Linked DNA regions of Oryzias latipes. The protein of the gene in region 1 purifies or fractionates together with the protein of each later gene. This does not show direct contact. Links are inferred from orthologs where the notes say so. Each region holds a gene or a part of one and is shown on either strand. Other genes may lie near its edges. The genes, in order: tripartite motif-containing protein 16-like, satb1 and ppm1a.

Region 1 (4,287 bases):
TTGTTTTTTCTGCCATGAACTATTTTCCTGCTTCCAAAAGCTCATAATAATAAACATAGTGACGCCATTCTGTTCAGTGAAAAAGTAAGAATCTTCCCGTTCTTCCAGAAACGTCCTGTGTTTATCTTTATATTCTGAATTTCACAATTTTCACCATGAGGGTAACAGTCTGCAGCAGCACATCTAATGTTTATGTGTTCTTATATATACACTTATGTGTCGGGAGCAAAACACACACACTGCCAAATTACTTTTATTATTATTCATTTTTAATACCCTCTGATGGTGAGAGTGTGGTTTAAGAGGGAAAATTTATGAAACGAGGCGCAGTATATAGAAAACATGATGAGACGCAAAGAGCTGCACGCTCGTTGGCCAAGAACCGCGTGCCGCCCGAGAGCCGCGTGTTCACCACCCCTGGTCTAAGGTATTTCTATGTAAAACAGTGTTGGAAAAGATCTGTTCGCTTTTCAGATCTTTCCATGCGTGTTCAAGAGTCGGGAGAGATGGAAGCAAAGCAAATGGTTCGACCGGATAAAACACAAAGTTTTGTTTCCCTAACAAAAGTTCTAGAACAGATTAAAACATTTTAAAAGCAGATATCTGGGTTCTCAGTCTATAAAATCTGCAAATGCACAAAAACTACATGCGACTTCAGATGCAGCCAAGCTGAGGACAAAGAAAAAGTTCATCAGAAGAAAGTTTTATCTTGGCGGCCGAATCTCCTCCCCTGGACACACGGACTCGCTGACAAAGGGGCCCGCCTGCTTCCGCCGGCCCATATTTGGAGATGCAGCCTCTGGATCTGAAAAACGGTTACCCCATCTCCCCACAGTAATTCAGCTGGACAGCAGAACTTCATCACAGGTACTTTTATGGCTCGTTTCCGAGGGTTTGGATCTTCAATCCAGATGGTTGAAAAGTGGTCCATGACTAATTTACTGCTTCACACAAAAGGTTCGGTCTTCTCAAAGGGGGGTCTGTATCTACAGTCATAAATCCCCCCACTGGAATGCCAGAGGAGGTAAGCCTCTAGGGTTCAAAAAGAGTTCACGACACACTAAAGATTCAAACCTCAAGTAGTAAAAAAGAATAAGATAGAAAACATACATTTCTTCAATAGTGACAGAATTTGTCTGGCAGTTTTTTTCCAGTGACTCATAAACGTGTTTTGGGCCTGTGTGGACGTGTTAGTTCTTAAAAATCTGACAAAAGCAGAGTAACGTGCTCTGCAAATAGTGTTCCTTCTAAAACTGGAAACACCAGCAACCAGTGAGCACGTTCAGACTGAAAGATAGCAGGATTCGGCAGCAGAAACAGTTAAAGTCAGAGCTGCACAGCAGCAACAGTCTGAGCTGATGAGACACAGAGCGTTTGACAAATATGCTGTTTGGTTTCTATCCTGATCTAACAGCCATCTTCTCTAAAGTCCCCCTCATCCTCATCTGCAGCTCCTCCTCTGTCATGATGGGCGTCACCAACAGGAGGAGAAGAGAGAAGCTGATTGGCTGAACTCACAGTGAAACCATCTGATTGGAGGATCAGAGTCATCCGGTCTCTGAGGAAGTGAAACTCTCAGAGAGAGTCTGTGTGTCTGAGAGGAGAAATGGCGCAGAAAGGAGCAGATGTGGATGAAGAAAGCTTCTGCTGTTCCATCTGTCTGGATCTGCTGAAGGATCCGGTGACTATTCCCTGTGGACACAGCTACTGCATGAAGTGTCTTCAAGGATTCTGGGATACAGAGGAGAAAGTCCCCAGCTGTCCTCAGTGCAGGAAGACCTTCACACCGAGGCCTGTTCTGGTGAAAAGTTTCACGTTAGCAGCTTTAGTGGAGCAGCGGAAGAAGAGCGGACTCCAAGCTGCTCCTGCTGGTCTCTGCTATGCTGGACCTGAAGATGTGGTCTGTGACGTCTGCACTGGAAGAAAACTGAAAGCCATCAAGTCCTGCTTGAGCTGTCTGGCCTCTTACTGTGAAGAACACCTTCAGCCTCATCTGAAAGCAGCTGCATTGAAAAAACACAAGCTGGTGGAACCCTCCAAGAATCTGCAGGAGAACATCTGCTCCCGTCATGATGAGGTGATGAAGATGTTCTGTCGCACTGATCAGAAGAGCATCTGTTATCTCTGCTCTGTGGAAGAACACAGAGGCCACGACACAGTCTCAGCTGCAGCAGAAAGGACTGAGAAGCAGAGAGAGCTGGAGGAGAGTCAGCAACAAATCCAGCAGAGAATCCAGGACAGAGAGAAAGAGGTGAAGCTGCTTCAACGGGAGCTGGAGGCCATCAATCACTCTGCTGATCAAAGCGTGGAGGACAGTGAGAAGATCTTCACTGAGATGATCCGTCTCCTCCAGAAAAGAAGCCGTGATGTGGAGCAGCAGATCAGATCCCAGCAGCAAACTGAAGTGAGGCGAGTCAAAGGTCTTCAGGAGGAGCTGGAGCAGGACATGGCTGAGCTGAAGAGGAGAGACGCTGAGCTGAAGCAGCTCTGGCTCACAGAGGATCACAGCCACTTTCTGCTCAACTACCCCTCACTGCCCCCACTCAGTGAGTCCACCCCCTCAGCCAGCATCCATGTCCGTCCTCTGACATACTTTGAGGATGTGACAGCAGCTGTGTCAGAGCTCAGAGACGAACTGCAGGACATTCTGAGAGAGGAATGGACAAACATCTCACCGACGGTTTCTCTTGTGGACGTTTTACTGTCAGAACCAGAATCAAAGAGCAGAGCTGACTTCCTCAGATATTCACGTCAAATCACACTGGATCCAAACACAGCATACAGACAACTGTTACTGTCAAAGAAGAACAGAAAGGTGAAATATATGAGAAAACCTTGGTGTGATTCTGGTCATCCAGACAGATTTACTTATTATCCTCTGGTTCTGAGTAGAGAGAGTCTGACTGGACGTTGTTACTGGGAGGTGGAGTGGAGAGGAGAACCTATTTGTGTAGCAGTCGCATACGACAACATCAGCAGGTCTGGAAGAGAAAGTGAATTTGGTTTTAATGATAAATCTTGGTCATTAGATTGTTCTTCAAACAGGTTCTCATTTTACCACGACAGCATAGCAACCTCCATCTCAGCTCCTGGTTCCTCCAGAGTAGGAGTGGACCTGGATCACAGAGCAGGTGTTCTGTCCTTCTACAGCGTCTCTGGAAGCATGACTCTCCTCCACAGAGTCCAGACCACTTTCACTCAGCCGCTCCATGTTGGACTGTGGGTGGGTTCTGGATCCACAGCAGAGTTGTGTAAAGTGAACTAGTTTCAGAAAGGAGTGAAATGTTTGTTTTCAGTGATTTCATCTAGAACTAAACTTTTGAACTGTTCAGATTCTGTGGAGTCATGTTTGTAGTCAGAAATGGAGAGAAAGGAAAATCTCTAGAATGTGGATTGGAGACATTTTGGAATATGAATGTCAAACTTTTGGGAGTCCAATCTGTTTTCTTTGAACTTTGGGATTCCAATGGTTTTGTGTTGTTGTCATGGGAACTGAAGGAAGCTGCAACACAAATGGAGTCAGTGAGGTCACCATCCCAGACTTTCTCTGGTTTGTTCTCCACAGAAACACCAAGAGAAGAAGCTGAAGGAGAAGATTGTGTTTGTGGAAAGAAGAACATTTAAAACTTTGTGTTCTTTCTGCTTCATTTGACAACTTTGAATTGAAGATTTGTGTTTTCATGTCTCTGTTCTTCAGAGAAAAGTGGTTTCTGATCATGTAACAATAAAAATCTCCTGTTTCCTGAACCACAGTGGTAATTGAACCCTCACACTGATGTCCAACATGCAGACTCCTGGTCTTCAGCGGTCCAACAGGAAGTTTGTTGTTACGTGCATGCATGCTGTGCATGTGCACTCCAGTGACGGGCAGTGAAGTTTGTGGCCGGGGGTGCACTTTCAGATTCAGTTTTACTCATTTATGTGCTGACTACTGATTGTGTTGCTTTTCTTACTCTTTCAAAACACAAACAGTAACAAGAACATATAGACCAGGGAGTAAAGTAACATGTATGAATGTTGTCCATCTACACACACTTAAGGATTTATTCCTGCAACATGTTTTGTGCTTTTAATTGTTTTTCTCTTACCTTAAAATAGAACAAACAACGTTTTTTTATTCCTCTTCCACATTATTGCGTTGGAAAGCACTTTGAATGTATTTGACAGGGGGTCTGTATTGCACACCAGGTTTATTTACCCTGGACTACATTACCCATGAGCACCTGCTGTGCAAATCACAAGATCTGTCATGAGATCCCGTAGCTTCATTTTTTAACAACACCGCGT
Region 2 (3,649 bases), on another chromosome or scaffold:
AATAAAGCATTTGCAGAAACACGCATGTGCTGGTATCAACAATTAACTGACCGTGCTTTTTGAATCAGGTGATGAGGAGCTTCACGTGAGATTTTCATTCTCATGAAGCTCCTCCCATCCTGAAAAGTTGACAATTTCCATGTCTTGTCTTGGTTTTTTTTACATCTTATTTTATGTCTTCTTGAGTTTTTCCCATTTAAACTTTTTCAGCTGCAGATTTTTTCCTGAATTTTTGAAACTTCAGAGGAAGAATCAGGAATGTTGGACATTTATATCAAAGACCAAACAACCGCCCACATCTTCCCTCCAGGTTTAGCTCTGTGTTTGCAGTTATTTAAAACTCTTTGTTTGGCATTAATGTAACCGCTAAAAATGCACATGATTGATACGCAATATTATCAGAATTATCAAATGTTAGTTTAAGCAACAAACGGCTTAAGGATCTTAAGACGCGTTACTCTGAAAGCCAAGTCGACTGCAGAAATTAAGACTTTTATTCTGAAGGTTTATGTGTTTTATGTCCTCAACACCACAAAGAACTGCTCAGCAGGAAAGTTGGGGATTTTCAAATGAACCAGGATGTCAAAAATCAAACGTCTTAATCTGGATTATGGGAAGTTTTCTTCCTTTAAGGTTTTTGAGAAGCCTTTAGCAGGTTTCATCCTCTGATTTCAGGCATGTAAACACGGCGTGCTCCTCACCTGTGCAGCTGGATCTTGAGCGTGACCACGTGGTAAACGTCCTGCAGCATGTCGGCCACTGTGGCGTCCGGCGCGTCCGTCACGTACGACAGCGGGACGGGGTTCCACTTCCCCACCTGAATCATACCTGCGGGGTGAAAGCGCGTCAACGTGGGCCGGAGCGGAGCTCGCCATCGGCGCTTTATTTAAAACTGCAACACTGGCGTGCTGTGATGTCAGCAGGGGAGAGGTGTGAGTCAGGGTTTGCGTGCGTGTGTGTGTGTGCGTGTGTGCGATAGGGATGGACTACGCGCACAAATATGCATCTTAAAATAGCAAAGCTCAAACTGCATGTGTTCCTGTGCAATTACAGTCTTGCCTCCACCTACACAACACGTGTGCATGGAGATACACACATGCAGGCCACTGTGTGATATCTGTCAGCGTGTGTTGCAGTTATGGTGGAGGGGGTGGGAGGAGTCACCTTTGGCCTGGGCGGCGGAGCTGTGAGAGTAGCCCAGCGACAGCAGAGCCATCTCGATGAGCTGGTTGAACAGCATGTCCTTGCGCACCAGGACGAACTCGGCGTGCTCCTCCTTGCTGTCGAAGTCCATGGGGTTCTCGTAGTGCTCCACCACGCAGAACACCGGCAGCATGTTGCCTGCAGACACGGCAACACCCGGGTTCTGGGGGTGAGGACTCTGACCGTCAGCCGCTCACAGGGAGTCATATTTAGCCCGATGATCGAGTTAGGTGAGGAGAAATGATCTTTCAGAGTGCAGTTCCGGTGCAAAGACTCTCCCATTCCCATCAGCACCAGGAATCCAACGTCAGGCAGAATTCACCTCGCGTTGGGGTTAAACACGGTAAAAACGGGGAAACATCACCGTTGAAGCCTTTTCCTCCCAAAGCAAAGGCCTCTCCTGCTAAACGGAGTCACCAGCAGCTCGGTCGACTAAAAAATGAAGAGTCCTGGTCCAGAAAATGAACGTTTACTCTGCAAATTTCACCCAATGTGCTTTTGTGTTAGAGAAGTTTTAATAGGGAAAGTGAAAAGCGTCTCCCCGAATAAAGAAACCGTGTTTACGTCCTGCTGTCAGACAGATTTCTACTTGTTTATCGTCTCTGCTGACCAAAAAAAAAAGATCCCAATATTTTCGGATCCTAGGCATTCCAGAAGATGCGCAGGGCTCCGACCAAACAATCGACGGGCCAACAAATGCAGAGGAATGTGCTGAAAGGGCTGCTTTTCTCCCCCCTGATTCTGATAGATACAGATCTGACAATAAAGACTGCTGTGCTGGTTCATTGGGGGGGGGGGGGGGGGTCAATACTGGCTTTGTTTCCAAAAGCCCAGAGAGCGCCGTGGCAGATATTATTATTTCGGACCAACTGTGGCTCCTGTGCGAAGCCTGAGAGGTGAGCCCGCCCCCTCTTTGCCAGCCTGGATGCTGGAGAAACAGCTGAAAGGATGGGGGGGGGGGAATAGCGGACGTTTCTCCCAGATGCATAAAAAAAACGAAAAAAATAAAGTGGAGAAATGACCCATCTGAGGACACAGCGACACATTCCAGGAGCTCCTGTCTCCCTATTGGCCAAAAAAAAAAAACAACAGACCAAAAAAGCTCCAGCAGCCAAGAACTTTTACGACTCCAGAACTGACTTCTGAATCTCACTTCCACTAAAAACAGAACCATAATCGTAAAAACAGACTCGACTGACGCCTTCTTCTTCCTCAAGAAGATGACTTATATTAATAATAAAACTTTGTCAAAGCTCCTAAAAGAAACTTCTGCCCACTGCAAACAAACGGCAGCATAGCAGAACCTTCCCCTAGCTTTGGTTTCAATGCACCAACGTCAAAATATTCTACTTTTCTGAGGAGAAAAGCAACTTCCTAGAAATGTCTTTTTTCTGTAAGAGCAGAATTATGCACAATAAAACTTCATTATTATGCCTGTGTCATTAATTAAGCAGTAAAAAGATGAGAATTTGCAGATTTTCCGCCGTGACGGTTTTATGGCGCCTCTTCGTTTAAGACACACGAGGAGAAACAGACGCGATCTCCTGCAGCGCCGTCTTACCTCTCTTGTGGAAGGTCTTCAGCAGGTGGCCGCTGGGCTTGTACGGGACCCCCGCCAGTTTGGCCCCGTTGCTGCCCAGTCGGGCCCGCCCCAGCGGGCTGCCGTTCTGCTCCAGCCGGGGCAGCTTGGCCGGCGGGGCCTTGGCTTCCGCCATGCTGTTGACCAGCTCCGAGTTCTCCTTGCCCAAACACGTCTCGCTGAGATGCTCCATCCTTCTCAGCGCCTCTGCTCACTATCACCTGGGGAGGGAAAGAAGCATTAAAGAAAACACCTGATGGGTGGGATTTTGGCTAGGCGTGAGGCTGTGGAGCTCTGAGAACATCTTCCACCTGAGAAGAGCGAATCTCCACATTCAGTCAGAGGAAAGTATTACAGTTATCCAGCAAACGTGGCGCTTAAAAATAGAATTTAAAACACAAACTCAGTTTCTCAGTGAAGAATTTGGATGGTTCCAAAGCAGAAAAAGTATTTTTAATGATATTTTGGATTTAAGATTATGAATGTGGACGAAAAATCTTCAACTTAAAATTCTAAGTCCAAATCATTATTTTTATTAAAAACTTTTATAATAAACCCCTTTATTGTTTCCCTGTTTATGTATTTACAATCATTTAGTCGTTTTTTTAAGCTATACTTTTAAAAACTTCTAAATTCAAATTTTTTTATACATCTATATTTATATATATAAATACATTTGGTTTTGGATGAAATGTTGACCTGTGGAAGGCCTGGGGAGGAGACAAAGTAGTTCACAACTTTGTAAAGTATGTGGGCGCGTGCCTGCATGGGCGCGCGCGCAGCTGCTGACTCATGGGACCCGTCATGAAAAAAAGTTGAAGTGAGGAGGGGCAGGGGGTGGATGGGAGAGATGCTTCACCCACAGGT
Region 3 (3,649 bases), on another chromosome or scaffold:
TTTTGATGGGTTAAGTCTGTTGAACACTGCTTCAATAAGACTTCGTCTGTGAACAGGATAAAGAATAAAAACTATTAGTTTTCAATTTATTTAAATGTGAGCGGTTACAATTACAATTGCCTAGTTACAGATACTGAATTCACTTTTAAGAAAAACTGTCAAATAAGTTAATATTAAAAATTTAAAAGACGTACTTGCTTGCCAGCTCTCCACCCGGAGGGAGGTTTGGTATGGTCTCAGAGGTTAACATTCGCATAACATTGACCAAATCAGGAGTACCTTTATCCCACTCAGTTTTAAGGATCTCTGAAAGGAATTGTAAAAAAAAAAAAAATTGAACAGATTTATTTTCCAATACACATTTATTTACATGTATGTTTGTGTGAGAAGCTTAAAAATATTATACACTAAGCACTTTTTTTTTAAACACCAGAGCATTTTTCCCCCCAACAAAACACATTGGTTTTGCCATTTAACAGATGTCTGGAAATTCTATTATTTACTGTCTGTTGACTTTATCGGGTGAGCTGGAAGAATTAAATGCGCATGTCAATTTATAAAACAATGAGGAGCTTTGTCATCACATTTGAACACAACTAAATATTCCACTGTCAACGCAGAATGAAAGCAATTGGGAACCATTACTCGGACACAAAGAGGTAGGGCACGTAAACTGACAGAACAAGATCAGCAGGTCTGAGGTGCCTAATGTGCAGAGATGACCAACTTTAGACAGAATAGATCCGTGCAGACCTCCAAGTTCAGAAACAACACATACTCATGGAATGCGTTTCTATAGCTGACCAACTGCATTCAAACCATGCATCATGAAGGACAATGCTTTGTATGACGCAGCAGCTTAAAGAACTGGACTCTAGAGCAGTGGAGATACTTTCTCTAGAGTGACAAACTTTTCCACTTCGTAGTTGCCAGAGAATGACTATTATCAAAATGCAAAATGTCGACTTTGGTGGAGGGGCAGTTTAAACAGTGTTTTTCAACACTGGTCCTCAGGGCACAGTGGTCTGCATTTTTTCCATGTTGCACTTGTTAAACACACACCACATCCAACTCCTCAACAAGCTCAGCAGAAGCCTGAGAATGTCATAAGAAACAGGTGAGCTTCAGCATGAAATACTAAATATATCCAGAACAGCGTGTCCAAGGACCAGAGCTGGGAAAGAATTATAGTGAAGGGTTGTTTAACAGAAACGTGGCTTGGCCTTTTAGATTCATTGCAATAAAAAAAAGTAAAACAAAAAAAAACAAAAAATCAGTGCTTAAGCACAGCAAGAGATTTTGGACAACTCCATGCTAATGCATAAAGCAAAGTTCATAAAGATGAGCCAGTTTGGTGCCCTGAAAAATCTGGACTAATTCCTGACCTAAACCATGTTGAAGACCTTTGGGTTTGGGGTGAATTAGACCAAAGACCATGAGTAGGAAACCTAACTATTGAACATCAGTGTTTGCCCTTAAGCTTCTTAAAGATCGGTCAAACCTTCTTATAAACATCTGCAAAAAGCACGGCCAGATGAGCTTAAGCTGTTGTAGCAGAAAGGGGTGCAGCAATATTCTGGATGAATATTACTATTAGGATGTGACAAAAATAATCTACGTCTTTCCTGTTACTTAAACTGGATACTTTAAACACTGTTAGAACCAGCTTGTTTTTGCGAGCGGAGAAAACAACAGGATGGTCATTTACAAAAGCAAGTGGCACTCTGGTTTGCTCCTGCAGCAGTGAACCTTGTTGGGTGATATTTAACGTACCCAACATGCTGGCAGTTAGGAGTTTAGCATTTCATCCAGAAATCTAAATTCAATTCAATTCAATTCAATTCAATTTTATCTGTATAGCCCAAAATCACAACAACAGTCGTCTCGATGGACTTCGATCTTAAATCAGATCCACACAACTAAAATAGTTTCTCTGTGACACTTGTGTTCTGCTGTTGACATTTGTGTTGAGTAGCTTTTGTGGGCAATGATGTTTTAAAGTCTAGCATAGCAGGTTAAACTCATACATTCTCTATTCTCTTTGACATTGAAGGCTCATCTTCGGTTTCCTTACGGATTTATTTCAGCACTGATCCAAATCCGTTTTTTTTTTTTAAACTTTGCTAACTTGGGGGTTTCAATTTAGCGGCCGGTTCAGCCGCTTTAGGAAGGTGGCGGATGGATTTTTGACCTACAACAAGAATAAGACGGTTGTGGAGAGAATCCCCTATTTTCCCAAAATAAAACTTCTTTAGGAATAAGATTATAAACGAACAGTTGTGGGTTCTTGTTTTTTTTCCTCTGTGCCCCGGTACCAACTCTCCCACAGGCCGGTACAGGTGCATGGCACAGGGGTCTGGAACCACAGCTCTACTGGCCTGGATATGGTACTTTCTTATGTGTAATGTGACCAGAACATAAGTGCAGCTTTGCACTTACAAAAAAAAACAAAAAAAAGGGGTCTATTGTAGCACAATGATCTTGCAAATTAAAAAAAATCCTCAGCCCTAAGAGATGAGCAAAAACATTTAGTAATAAAATATTTACTTCTATTTATAACATTTTCTGGTGTAGAAATACTTTTAAATGATCTGTCTTTCAAAATGCTCTTGTCCACTCACTATAGGCAAGTCAAGATTTTACACTAAAAGTAAAATGAATCATGCATAGCTTGCAGAAAGAGAAATGAATCATTCCACAATAATACATAAGCAATTTCAAAAGACCTGCTAATAATGAAAACAACAGCAATAAACAAGCAGATTTTTTATATCTGACAAACTGAATGAATTTTAATGTTAAATGACTTATTGTGATGATAAAACATTGCGTAGACTCACAACATTAAAAAAGCGCATTAAAACAAAAATAGTCTGCATTGTCCAGGTGGTACTAATCTAGTACCCTCAGTTATTAAAAGGCTTTCCAAATCCTCAAAATAATTGTTTAGCTAGTCTGAAGAATTCAGATCTCTTGCTATGTGTTATGCTGGAAACAAATCTTACCCAAGCAATAAATGTGACTGATTTAACAGGGTTCTCATATTTACGTGAAAATTTTGTAGTGAGAGTTTGCCTAAAGTGAAAGTTACTGACAATACTTTTGTTTTTCAGTGCAAGTGCCAGCATGTTTAGCAGCACATACGATTTAACAGGGTAAAATACAATCAAAAGTGCAAATACAATAAATACATTTATGTCTCAACATTGCATGCCTCAGTTGTTGCCATGTTAAAAAGCCTACACAAATAAAGATGCTCAAACAAGTTTCCATACAGTAGGCAAGTACTAAAATGCTACTTAAATAGACCTGGTTAGTTCAGACAAATGTAAGTTTCTCATAACTACCTTCAACTCTGGCCTCCAAGAACTTGTCCAGTTCCATCTCTCGCATCACTGCTTCTTGAGATACCTTTGGGGCCCCAGGAAAGCAGATTAACACAACACTCATATTATCTCGACTTCCCTGCGGAAAATAAAGAACAATACATTAAATGAAAGTCTGGTATAAGACTGAGTAGTGGAACATGCAAGTGAAAGTTTTGTGAACGTGTCATACCTTGTACAAGCAGGTGTCCACAATTTCATTGCAGACTCTTTCAAGATCATCCGTAACCTCTAATCTTGATCTCACAAAGCTACACACTTCC

Evidence for each region.
Region 2: the proteins of tripartite motif-containing protein 16-like (region 1) and satb1 purify together in Homo sapiens (affinity purification with mass spectrometry; 4 studies listed by BioGRID and IntAct, with this or other methods). This does not show direct contact. The link is inferred for Oryzias latipes from reciprocal best matches to the Homo sapiens genes TRIM47 and SATB1.
Region 3: the proteins of tripartite motif-containing protein 16-like (region 1) and ppm1a purify together in Homo sapiens (affinity purification with western blotting; 3 studies listed by BioGRID, with this or other methods). This does not show direct contact. The link is inferred for Oryzias latipes from reciprocal best matches to the Homo sapiens genes TRIM47 and PPM1A.

The regions. Positions count from the first base shown.
Region 1 is NC_019864.2:31,029,867-31,034,153, forward strand, and holds tripartite motif-containing protein 16-like, read left to right. Parts: upstream 1-1,407; 5' UTR 1,408-1,606; coding exon 1,607-3,265; 3' UTR 3,266-3,747; downstream 3,748-4,287. UniProt on the Homo sapiens protein: E3 ubiquitin-protein ligase that mediates the ubiquitination and proteasomal degradation of CYLD.
Region 2 is NC_019874.2:30,130,615-30,134,263, reverse strand, and holds part of satb1 (DNA-binding protein SATB1), read right to left. Parts: intron 3,004-3,649; 5' UTR 2,976-3,003; coding exon 2,765-2,975; intron 1,342-2,764; coding exon 1,165-1,341; intron 829-1,164; coding exon 702-828; intron 1-701. UniProt on the Homo sapiens protein: Crucial silencing factor contributing to the initiation of X inactivation mediated by Xist RNA that occurs during embryogenesis and in lymphoma.
Region 3 is NC_019880.2:12,122,271-12,125,919, forward strand, and holds part of ppm1a (protein phosphatase 1A), read right to left. Parts: coding exon 3,559-3,649; intron 3,466-3,558; coding exon 3,348-3,465; intron 307-3,347; coding exon 195-306; intron 47-194; coding exon 1-46. UniProt on the Homo sapiens protein: Enzyme with a broad specificity. Negatively regulates TGF-beta signaling through dephosphorylating SMAD2 and SMAD3, resulting in their dissociation from SMAD4, nuclear export of the SMADs and termination of the TGF-beta-mediated signaling.